Linked DNA regions of Canis lupus familiaris. The protein of the gene in region 1 interacts with the protein of each later gene in a biochemical or structural test. Links are inferred from orthologs where the notes say so. Each region holds a gene or a part of one and is shown on either strand. Other genes may lie near its edges.

Region 1 (5,650 bases):
TGCCTCTCTCTCTCTCTTTGTGTCTCTCATGAATAAATAAATAAAATCTTTTTTTAAAATTTAGACTAAAAATACGAAATATAAACTCTAGTACAGTATGAGGTAAGGACTCTCCCCTGGGAGAGGGAATTTCATCTTCATTTCATATAGCATAACTAATCACAGCAGCCATTTGATACGCATCCTGTTTTCCTTTTGCATTTAGACTCTCTTCCATACAGAGGCCCTACAAAGTAAGAATGTCCAGCAGAAGTTTCTTTATTCTCATTTTTCAGAAGACACTGAGGCTCAAGGAGGTTAATCCTGTCACAGGCTCTGTAACTAGAACGCAGGCTTGGAAACTTGCTGTTCAGCTTTTCATTTCAGGGGGTTCCACTAGCAGCGGTATGGACTCTCCACTAGGGGGCGCGTGTCATTACATGGGGTGCGTATTGGCTGAAATTGAGGGATTAAGCTGCATGGGCCAGCTCAAAAAACAAACCAACCAAAAAACAAAACAAAACAAAACAAAAAAAAAAAAACCACCCCCAAAGCAAAAAAGCAATCTAAAAACTGTGTACTCTCCATATAAACATATTTTTAAAACATCTCCCTAAGCCTCTCGTCCCAGCAGATTACATCTATAAAATCATTCCCATGCAGAAATTCGGCAATCAAGAATGCATTTGAGAATACCGGCAAGTAGGTGTGTGATTTTGAAAAGCCCTTCCGGTGGTACTGACATGCCCCTTCAGTAGGGAATCCATGCACTACTATAAGCTACAAAGAGAGGACGTGTGATATTTGCTTTGATGGTGTATGATCACTCCTACTGCACGCACTCAGGACCAACACTTCAACTCAGAGCAAGAGACATTGTTTTGAGTGGGGCCTCTACTGGCTTCTCTCATTTGCAGTCGATCTCTGAAAACTCTGGCTGGGAATAAGACTGCTGCCCCCAAGCCCAGGTGGCTCATTTCCAGGAGGCCCACAGGCCTCCCCGCAGAGGTCCTGCCCGTAACACAGGATGGCGTGTTGCAAGAATGTCACATCAGAGGTTTTTACAAAACTCACTCTTAGGTTGCTGCATCCGTAAAGTCACATAACTGTCTGATTCCTTTTAAATTTATTTTCAACTGCAGGGAGTCACCTTTCCTTCCTCTTTTTTTGGGTGAGAGATTTTTTTTTTCATCTCTTTGCTAAGTTATTATTCATTAAATTGAAACCAAAGAGAAGAAAAGACATAATGAAGGACATAAAAGACATAACGAATTGAAAGAGAAATGGCCTGCCTTTTGTCCCCCCTGAGAGTTTATAGCAAATATTGCAAGCGAAGCAGGCGCCTAGCAGTTTATAGTCCAAACTAAACTTGCCGCAGATCCCACCTGCCTCTTGTCACACAAACCAACACACACACTCGAGTCAAGAAAACTTTTTTCTGTTTACTTATGTTAATCATCAAGCCAAAGCAAATAGCCTTCCACTTTCTGGATCCAGGGTAGCTATTAAATATGAAGACATCACAAATCCTCTAGATAAATAAAAGTGTGTGGGGGAGGACCCTATGTATTCTAGGCAGGAGCTGGACGATCGTGTACCAGAGAGTTGCATCAGCTGTCACATGTAACAAAGCTGGTTTTCCAACTTTGAACTTTCTCGGTTTCACACACCAGCACCACATCTGGTGAGCAGGAAATTGACTTTAAGTCCTCAATTTCGGATTTAAATCAACCACCAGTTTACAAGATCTGGGTTGAAATACTGTGCGACCATGGCTATGGGCTCATTTATTTATTCACTTGTCATGCATATCCTTGAGCCCTGAAACTCAAGGGAGATGACCCATAACTAAATAAAAGACCCCAGGCAACTCAATCTACAGTGAGGGGGAAGCTGAGTAAATAGGCAAAAATAATTACATGATATGTGTGCTAACTGAGGTTAGCACGAAGCAAGCCATGGGGGCAGAGAGGCAGTTACCAAGTAAGAGATACAAGATGTAGTGGGAAAGGAGAATGATTATCCACTTAATACCCTACTGCCCTTCTGCCCTCCTAACAGCACATAATCCCAAAAGGCTATAACAACTCGGCTACCTATTCCACTCCCTTGAAAAATTAGGGGATTGGGGACATAGGATCTCAAGAGAGTCCTTTCCAAGAAGCCTCCCACTCAGGGGAAACTGTTTACAAATGCGAAACTGTTTCCACGCCACTCAGGAAAAATCCCGGGACGAGGCCAGGCAGAAAAACTGCCTCAGCAACCCTCCAGCCAGAGCAGCCTGGAATCCAGACTGACCGGCCAAACACCTGGCACCAGAAGGGAACCAACTTCTGCATGAAGCTGCGGCACACTTCCCCAGCCCTTGGCACAACTCCCCCAGCGTAATAACCCGGGTTTCCAGTCTGCGAGGAGGGAAGTCCGGGAGGATGAGGGGGCTTGGGGGGCGGGGGGGTCCACGCACACGGCCACGCCTCTCCATCCTCTTTGGGGGGGACTGAATGAACCCTTTAAATCAGATCGCCCAGGCTTCTGAGAACATAGTGCCGAGGCACGAAGCTGCAGCAGAGTTGCGATTATTCATTCAGTGGGCTCTCCCCGCCGCGTGGACGGCTGCCCCGGGTTACACTCGGCCCCCACGCCTCACTCGGATTATCCGCGGGGAAACAGGACACGCGGTGCACTAAGCCTGCTCGCCCTGCCCCTTCACACACCCCTGCAGGGTCCCGGCCTGCAAGAGCTCCCGGGTTAGGGCCGCGGGGTCAGGGACCTGGGTTAGGGGCGCGGGGTCAGGGACCTGGGTTGGGGACCCGGGGGCAGGGGGGCTAAAGCTGTCCCAGCTCCCCGCCGCCGGCCCCGGGGCTGCGCGGGCACGTGGGTGGGTGCGAGGGGGTGTGTGCGCGGCCGCCGGCGGGAGCCCCTACCTTCCAGCAGCACCTCCCTGCCCGCGCGCTTCAGCGCCTGCACCGCCTCGTCGTGGGTGGCGTCCCGCAGGTCGGCCCCGTTCACCGACAGGATGGCGTCGCCCACGTACAGGGCCTGGGTCTGGTCGGCCGCCAGCCCCTTGAAGATCTTGCTGATGAGGATGGGCATCTTGTTCTCCTTGCCTCCCTTGATGCTGATGCCCAGCCCGCCCAGCTCCTGCTTCAGCACCTTCACGCCGCGCTTCTGGTTGGAGATGGCCTCGGGCACCTGCTCGGGCAGGTCGGTGAAGGCGGTGCGGACCCCGGCCGGCGAGTCGGGGGGCTGCGCGCCGCCCGCGCCCCTGCAGAACGCGCCATTGGTGGCGGTGCCCAGGCCGTTGGACGCCGCGGCGCCCTCCTCGCAGCTCAGGACCAGCGCGTCCTCGCCCAAGTTCACCAGAACTTTGTGCCAGCGGTCCCGCACCAGAACTTCCAGCGGCCCGCTCCGCGGCGCGCGGCCGCCTCCCCCGCCGCTCGGGCCCGCCGCCGCCGCCGCCGCTACCGCCATCTTTCCGGCATTCTTAAAACGCCGTGCGATTGCCAAAGGGGGGAAGAGTGGGCACGGGCTGCGGGGAGGCCGCGGGCGCGGGGCGCGGGCCGGGCGCGGGGCGCCGCTCGGGGACTTGGCACGCGCGCCCGGCGCGAGGTGGCCGCCGCCGCGCGCTCCCCCTCGCCGGATCCTGCGCGGGGTGGAGCGACCTAAAAGAAGGAGAGACACACTCAGGGGAGGGGAAAGGAGGGGAAAGAAAAAAAAAAAAAAAAAAAAAAGCCAGCTGCCAGTTGCAAACGCGCCAACGGAGGGGAGCGGCGGCGCTCGGCGCCCGGAGGGTCGGGAGGAGGAGGCGCGCCCGCGGGGAGGGCGGGGGCCCGGCGGGGCCCGGCGGCCGCTCACCTGTTCCGGCCGCTCGCGGCTCCGACCCCCGGCCCCGCCCCCTCCCCGCCCCGCGGGCGCCCACGCCGCGCCTTGGCCCGGACCCCTCGCCCTGCCTGGGGCCCGCGCTCCACGCCCCGGAGCCCGCCCCACTGTCCCTGGGTCCCGCCCCCCCCCCCCCACGCCCCAGCCGTACCCAGACCCAGACCCTCCTCGCTCCGGCTTCCGCAAACCGAGGCTTGGCTTCTCCCGCCGAGCTCTTCCTCACCTGGCTCCCCTCCGCGCCGGGGTTCCCAGGTAGACTCGGATGGAGGCCCCGGGTTCTCCGAGAGTCCAGAGGGACGGCTGTCCCGAGAGCTCAGGATGGAGCGTCAGCATAGCCCGAGGGCCCGAAACTTCCTCTCTCGAAATGCAGGCAGGACTTCTTTCCTCCGGATCCCTGGAGAGGCGCGTGTGCTGGCCGGTGGCTTTCAGCAGGTCACTGCCTGCCCCCGACCCCAGACCCCGGGACCTGACGCCTTCCCAGCTTCAACACTCCGTAGGCAATCTGCGTCTCTGTCTGGTCCCCGCCCCCACCCCACCCAGGGCCATTCCAGTTGTTTCCTGGGACTTTCTCTTTCTTCCCAAAATCCAATGTAGGAGGTCCCACCGTTTGAGAACTCGGTGGCAGTGGACTGTATCTGCAAAGTTCCCTTACTTGTTTGGACTAGTTACTAGTTACTCATTGTTCCAGGGGGACGGTATTATTATAGTTGGTCACCTTACCAGGCCAATCAAGAAATGCCAACCTAACCCCAGTCACGGCTGAACCCCCTCAGAGTGTTCCGGGTCCTTGAACCTCTGAGGTTCTCCTCCCGCCGTAATCAGGTGTCATGGGCCTCCCCACCAGTTTTAAGTCTTATCCCCCTCCCCCCAACTTTTCATCTCTCTCCCCGCTGTCTAAAATCAAAACAAAGCAAAACTCACAAGTAACCCAGCAAGGTTAGAAATCTTACCAAACACATTCCCACTGATGTGTATCACCATTGACATCACCGAACATTCTCTAACCCTTCCAGAGTGATCCACACTTTTAACTGATAATGCTTTTAAGACACAGTTGAGCCCCCAAAGGGTAGCTGGAGTTCCAGGCAGGGTCTCTGAATGAAATGAAAACATTTGGCATCTTTTTTTTTTTTTAAAGATTTTATTTGTTTATTTATTTATTTATTCATGAGAGAGAGAGAGAGACTGAGGCAGAGACACAGGCAGAGGGAGAAGCAGGCACCACGCAGGGAGCCCCATGCAGGACTCCATCCCAGGACCCCAGGATTACACCCCGGGCTGAAGGCAGGCGCTAAACCGCTGAGCCACTCAGGGATCCCCCATTTGGGCATCTTTTGAGAAGTCACTGGAGGCAGGTCAGCGGACACCAGGCAGGTCAGCGGATTAAGCATTAATTCCTTTCCTATATTTTTATAGGAACTCCCTCCTTTCCTATATTTTTAATCCACCGGTTTTCTACAAGATCCGTGTTCTTTTGTGTAGAGGTACCCACAGCAGGGACAGCAGTCACAGGATCAGAGAGAGAGCCTCTGCAGATGTACCACAGTTGGGACAGCCCTCTGCTTTAGAGGCTGAGGATTCACTCATTTCACTCTTTAGGGAAATCAGAGCCTAAGTGTCTACATAATAATCCAAAACACTAAGGAGGAGATAGACACCAGAACCCCGGAGTGGTGATTTAGAAATCAAAACCAGTATTTTCCATTTCCATCATGCCTGTGTCTTACCTCTATGGTCAAGCAATGTGGGAGGCCCAGGCACAGCTGGAAGTAACTTATTGATTTGCTATAAG
Region 2 (5,917 bases), on another chromosome or scaffold:
TCTCGCCAGTGGAATAGCTTGTACACCATTTGACAAGACAAAGATGTGTATGTTTCCAACAGGTCAAACAGACTCCAGTGAAAATAACTAGATTTGAGTCACATTTCTGATACCAGATCAAAGATAGTTAACCTGAAGGAGATAATAACTCCAGGATCAAGAGGTATGGGATGGAGCATCTTTGGTATGGACAGGGGCAGTGAGATGGGGGGAAGGAGAAGCTACGACAATTTACAAAACCACGTAGTCTGGAATTTTCCCTATTAAATCAAATCTGATCTTGTGAGGGGCATCAAACCTGTGCTCAATCACATTCATACAAACCACATTTAACCCCATAAGCCCTGAGAACCAAGACAGGTCTAGTTAGTACTAGGAAGACGAAGGAAAAAAAGCTTAGAACAACTTTTGAGGTAGAAGTTTGGAAATGAATATGAATGAGCTTAAATATCAAAATGAGACTGTTCTAAAACTAGATGCCTAATGAATTATAAAAATCGGTGGCTCAGTGGTTGAGTGTCTGCCTTTGGCTCAGATCATGATCCCGGGATCCTGGGATCGAGTCCCGCATTGGGCTTCCCGCAAGGAGCCTGCTTCTCCCTCTGCCTGTGTCTCTGACTCTCTCTCTCTGTTTCTCTCATGAATAAATAAAATCTTAAAAAAAACAGAATTATAAAATTCTACAAAGATATCAATAAAGAGTAAGCTACCCATTGGTAAAGTTTGACAAGGCTGGTTGGACAAAATTATTAGAAAAAAATTTTTTAACATTTTCTGTTTTAATCACATGAGTTTAGACTCTTAAATAAACTGGCTATATATAGAAACTAAAAAAAGATAAAACACTGGTCTTGAGTCATAATCTGTGCAGATGTACCTCACACCCTTCCCTTTCATCAGCCCTGTCCTTGCGGTTAACCAACCAGCAGACTCTTCCAGTTACTATGTTAACAGAAGGACAACCAACTTTCCTAGGAAATTTCAAGGGAATGAAGTCATAAAATCAACATCAAGAGGCCCCTGAAGATGTGTTCCTCAGGGTCTGTTACTGTCAAGTCTCTTACTGTTCAGCATTTGGTCAGTGAGCTGATGCCAAAGCTGACCTTCTGTCCACTGTGAGACATGATCCCTGTGACCCCACTTTCACTTTCCCCACTTTCAGGAAGCCACCATATTATTCCAAGTCTATTCTTGGGGGAAAGAAGAAAAGAAGGAAGGAAAAGAGAAGTTAAATATAGCAATAGTCAGAATATTATTTCATTTGCCTTGGGCCTCCTTTTCTAAATTTGGTGGGGTGGTTGACACAAGTCTTGATATATTTTCTGGTTACAATTCTAGTTACCATTATACTTATTATTTCCAAGGAAGACACCACATAGGACAGAGGATGGAAGGAAGGAGAGGGCCTAGGTTCGAAGGCCAGCAATCCCATCCATTAGCATTACGACCATGGGAAAATTACTTTTTCTGTGTTTCAATGGCCTTATCACAAAAAGGTTGTATATACCCCCACTGAATTGTCGTGAGGCTTCGAAGCATTGTCTTGTGTGAAACCCTGAGCACAGTGTCTGGCACATCATAAATACTTAATAAATTTTGGCTGTTGTTATCATAATAATTATAATTATTATCACCTTAAAAAGTATAGGGGCACAGAGTGGGAGTAGGAAGGAATGGAGGGAATGGAGGAACTGGCCACTATCTAGCCTCTCCACCAGAGGTCCTGGAGTTGATGGAGGGCAAAGACAAGGTCCAGCCTGCCCCACAACCAGGGCGTCAGGGGTGGGTAGACCAGAAGGTGCCTGATGAACTCTCATGCTGCATTTTATTGGCTCCGGAGAACACGGAGACATGCGCTAGGCCAAGAGACTCTGGCTTGGCCTGCAGTTCACACATTGGCTAGGAGGTTGTAGAAACACCTAGAGGACAGGCAGGCAGTGTGGGCAGGCTGGAGACTGCCACCCCTTTCTGGTTATCTGGGTCTGGGCAGCCATCATCGTCTCCAGCTGGAAGGGGATGAGCCTTGGTGTGACAGCTTAGTAACTGTCAGGACTCCTTTCTGGGCACAAAGTTATTTCACCTCACCCATGGGAAATTCTGACACACTGTCAGAAATGAGGGGTTGAAGGGCTCCTGACGGGCTCAGTCAGTAGAGCATACAACTCTCGGTATCAGGGTCATGAGTTCAAGCCTCATGTTGGGCATAGAGCTTACTTATTAAAAAAAAAAAGTAGAAATGAGGGATTAGGGGTAATCAAAAGTTAAGAATAGGAAATTGGAGGTAATTTGAGAAATGTATTTCAGAGAAGTGCTTTCCTTGGACGGCTCTACAAAAGGCACAGACGCTTGTGAGGTTAACTAACACGGTGCTCAACATCTCCAAATCCACTCTCGGGCAAACGTGGGTATGAATCTCTACCGTGCCCCTTGGAAGCTGGATACCTCGGAGCTATCTATCCACCTTAAAATTAGGTTTTCCCCATTGTAATAGAAACTGTGAACGGTACCAAGCAATCTCAAAGGGTTATTTTAAGTCATGAATGAAAGAACTTATAAAATAAATCTGGCATGTTGTTGGAGCTCAGTGTTACCTATTTTCGTAAGTGACCAAGTTTCTTTGTCATATCCCTTTCCTACAAAAGATAAGTGACTGAGGATTTTGCCAAGAAGCCTGGCAAATGCTTTACTCTTTCACAGACTTTTTCAGCTCAGGATAACCTCCAGGTTTCCAGCTAAAGCTTTCATGTAAATATTTTCCAAGTACAATGTCGACAGAATGGCCAAGATAAGGAGTTCACCACCCAGATGCCCGTGATTCCCAATTATATCTCCTGCATAGGCCTCTCCCTGAACTACCGTGGATTTTATTATTCAATTTCCCACTCAATATTTTTACTGGATGTCTGAAAGACGTCTTAAATTATACGTGCTCAAAATCAAACACCTGATCTTCATACAGAAGTCTGCTCTTCCCGCAGCCTTTGCCACTTCAATTAATGACATCTGTAATCTTCCAAGTGCTCATATGAAAAAGCTTGAGACATCCTTGATGCCTCGCCTTTTGATTTCCAATAGATCAGAAATAATGTTCACTCTGCTTTCAAAATACATCCCGAGACAGACCACCTCTCACTAGTCTTCTAATACAACTTAGATCCAAGCTAAAAATATCTCTTACCCGTGTTGCTGCCATTGCTCCTTAGCTGGACTTCTTGCTTCCACCCTTGATTCTTTTGGGAGTTGAACTGTGTCCCCAGAAAAGAGAAATTAAAGTCCTAACATCGGTATCTGTAAATGTGACCTTATTTGGATATAAGGTCTTTGCAAACAAATTCCTTCCTTGCTCCTTCCTAGCTCCTGGTGGCAGCATCCATCCTGACATTGTTGGCTTGAAGCTGAAATGCTCCAATCTCTGCCTCCATCTCCACACAGCCTCCTCCTGTGCATGGCTTTTTGTGTGTTAAATCTCCCTCTCCTTTCTCTTATTAGGATGCCAGTCATTGGGTTTGTGTCCCACCTTAAGTCTGGGCTGATGTCATCTCTAGATCTTTAACTTAATTACATCTGCAGAAACCCTATTTCCACATAAAGTCACATTGGCAGGTACCAGGGTTTAGGACGTGGACCTATCTTTTGGAGGATGACACCAGTCAACCTGCTACAGTCACTGAGAAGTGGAAAGGCCGGAACTCAAGCTCAATTCTGATGGCAGCATTCCAATTCCATATTGCCATCCCTAGTGATCCCAAAGGAATTCACATAAGCCACTCTAGACTTGTAACTGGCTTGAGAACAAGTGTCTCTTCAGTCATCTTCTTTTCCTAAGAGAAAAGTTTTATTTTAACTTTCCCACAATGTATCTGGAGTCAGATGGAATGTAGTCTCTGAATCTTTATGAGAGTTTCTTGGGAAATATGTGGAAGATTAGTCCAATGCTAAGCATCTTTGGCACCGTCTGTCTTCTTACTAGATGTTGGAGATGTTCTGAGACAGAGTCCCAGTGCGCACTACAACAGAGCTTCTAGCAACAGCACGTAGGCAAACATTACATTTGTAAAGATGCTCCTCCAAGAAGAGGGTGATTTAGACCTGTCTGTAATGTTTGAATTTTTTAACAATAAGAATGCATTTGGGTTCTGTGTAGCAAAGGATTATTTCAGCACATCTGGGTTGTCTAAACATGTATATTTCCCCAAAATATTTGGCCCTTATTCAAGTTCTAGGAGATAACCTCTAGGTCATTGGAATATCCTACTTAATAAAATTATCTTTGTTTACCTAGGTTTCTTGGGCTATACCAGACAGTTATGCTAACAATGTGACTTATTGAGGGCCTTGGGCCATATGGTATTCCCTTGATCTCTGGAGGGCCTGGGTTAGGTCAACAACATGCTCAGTCATCCATGCATATGTAATCGAACCCCAATAAAATCTCTGGACTCCAAGGCTCAATGAGCTTTCCTTGTTGGTAATACTTTGTGTGTATTGCCACACATCGCTGCCTGAAGAAGTAAGCACACCCCACTGGGATAGGACAACCGGAAGCTTGTGCTAGGTCCCTCCTAGACTTTACCCCAAACGCCTTTTTTCTGTTGTTGATTTTCATCTGTATCCTTTCATTACAATACACACCAAACACAGGAACCATTGCTTAATAAAACTCCATAATTTTTTAAACAGTGCATGGGTCCTTCGACATTCAGTTCTGGCAAACTCCTGTTGAATTATAAACTCCAACACAGTACAGATTGTGCCTTTCTACATTCATCTTTACTCCCACCTCCCCACAATACTCATATGGAGCTTTGCATGTACTAGGTGTTCAGCAGAACAAATGGGGATGACATTGAAGTCTGAGACCAGATTGAAAAATCTCCTATAATCGGAGCTGACTCATGGGCCGTTGGTGAGCTCTGCTATAAATTTTTCTGAATGGAATTCAATTCACACAATGACGATCACCCAAGGTTGAATGATGGGAGCCCTCATTTGATGGTTTTGAATGATAAACTCACCTAAGATGGCTTTCCTCCTTGAATCCTCCGTTCCCTGCCCCTGTGGCTTGGGAGACAATGCTTAAAGCTTGGGCAAGTCTGGCATGTTTGAACTGATCCCAAGGTGGTAGGGAACACACACTCCCTCTTCCCTTCTCTATCAACCAGGAATCTGTTTGCAATGCACAGTATTTGAGTTTCAGCTCCTACAATTTCTGACACATTTAACACTGCTATGCTATTATGATAAATGGGCGGTCTCCCTGAATTGGGAGGTTTGGTGGGAAGGCAATCCTGAGCCTGAGCAACTTCTTTCAACGGCAGCCTTGAAAAAGATGCCATGACTCCACAAGAAGAGCAGCAAGGTCCTCACAGGTTTATTCTACAATTAAAATTTTAGGGGACTCCCAGGTTGGCCAAAATCTTAGTCTCAGCAGAAATAAAGCTTGTTGAATTGCTGCAAATGTTAAGGTCTACTAAATTGTCTAGAACCAGCATCTCTTCAGAGGTCTCTGTTTTGTTTGCTTTGAGATAGAATAAAATATTCTCAACACATAATGTCAAGGAGCAAGTTCATGGGCAACCTGGCCAGTGTGCACTCAAACAGACAGTGGAAGGACTTAATGTAGGATTGAGGCTTTACTCCACTGCCATCCAGAAATAGCTGAATACTCTGCACTGCTTGCTTTTGTTCAATGCATCTGTTTGTTCATCTGTTTGTTTGTTTTTTGTTGCTTTTGTGTGTGTGTGTGTGTGTGTGTGTGTGTGTACCAAAATCTGCACCAGCAAAGTTTTTTGGGCAAAAATTTAAAACAAGCCAAAATGGGTAGACCAACTGATTTTTTTTACAAGGATGCCAAGGGAATTAAATGGGGGAAAGAAAAGTCTTTCTACCCAATTGTGCTGGGGCAACTGGATGCCCA

The links. The genes of interacting proteins can lie anywhere in the genome.
Region 2: the proteins of SNTB1 (region 1) and CYSLTR2 interact in a test that uses a peptide from one of them, tested with the Homo sapiens proteins (2 studies listed by IntAct, with this or other methods). The link is inferred for Canis lupus familiaris from reciprocal best matches to the Homo sapiens genes SNTB1 and CYSLTR2.

What each region holds. Positions count from the first base shown.
Region 1 is NC_049234.1:20,013,044-20,018,693, forward strand, and holds the start of SNTB1 (beta-1-syntrophin), read right to left. Parts: upstream 3,466-5,650; 5' UTR 3,451-3,465; coding exon 2,904-3,450; intron 1-2,903. UniProt on the Homo sapiens protein: Adapter protein that binds to and probably organizes the subcellular localization of a variety of membrane proteins. May link various receptors to the actin cytoskeleton and the dystrophin glycoprotein complex.
Region 2 is NC_049243.1:2,925,285-2,931,201, forward strand, and holds the start of CYSLTR2 (cysteinyl leukotriene receptor 2), read right to left. Parts: upstream 3,634-5,917; 5' UTR 3,179-3,633; intron 1-3,178. UniProt on the Homo sapiens protein: Receptor for cysteinyl leukotrienes. The response is mediated via a G-protein that activates a phosphatidylinositol-calcium second messenger system.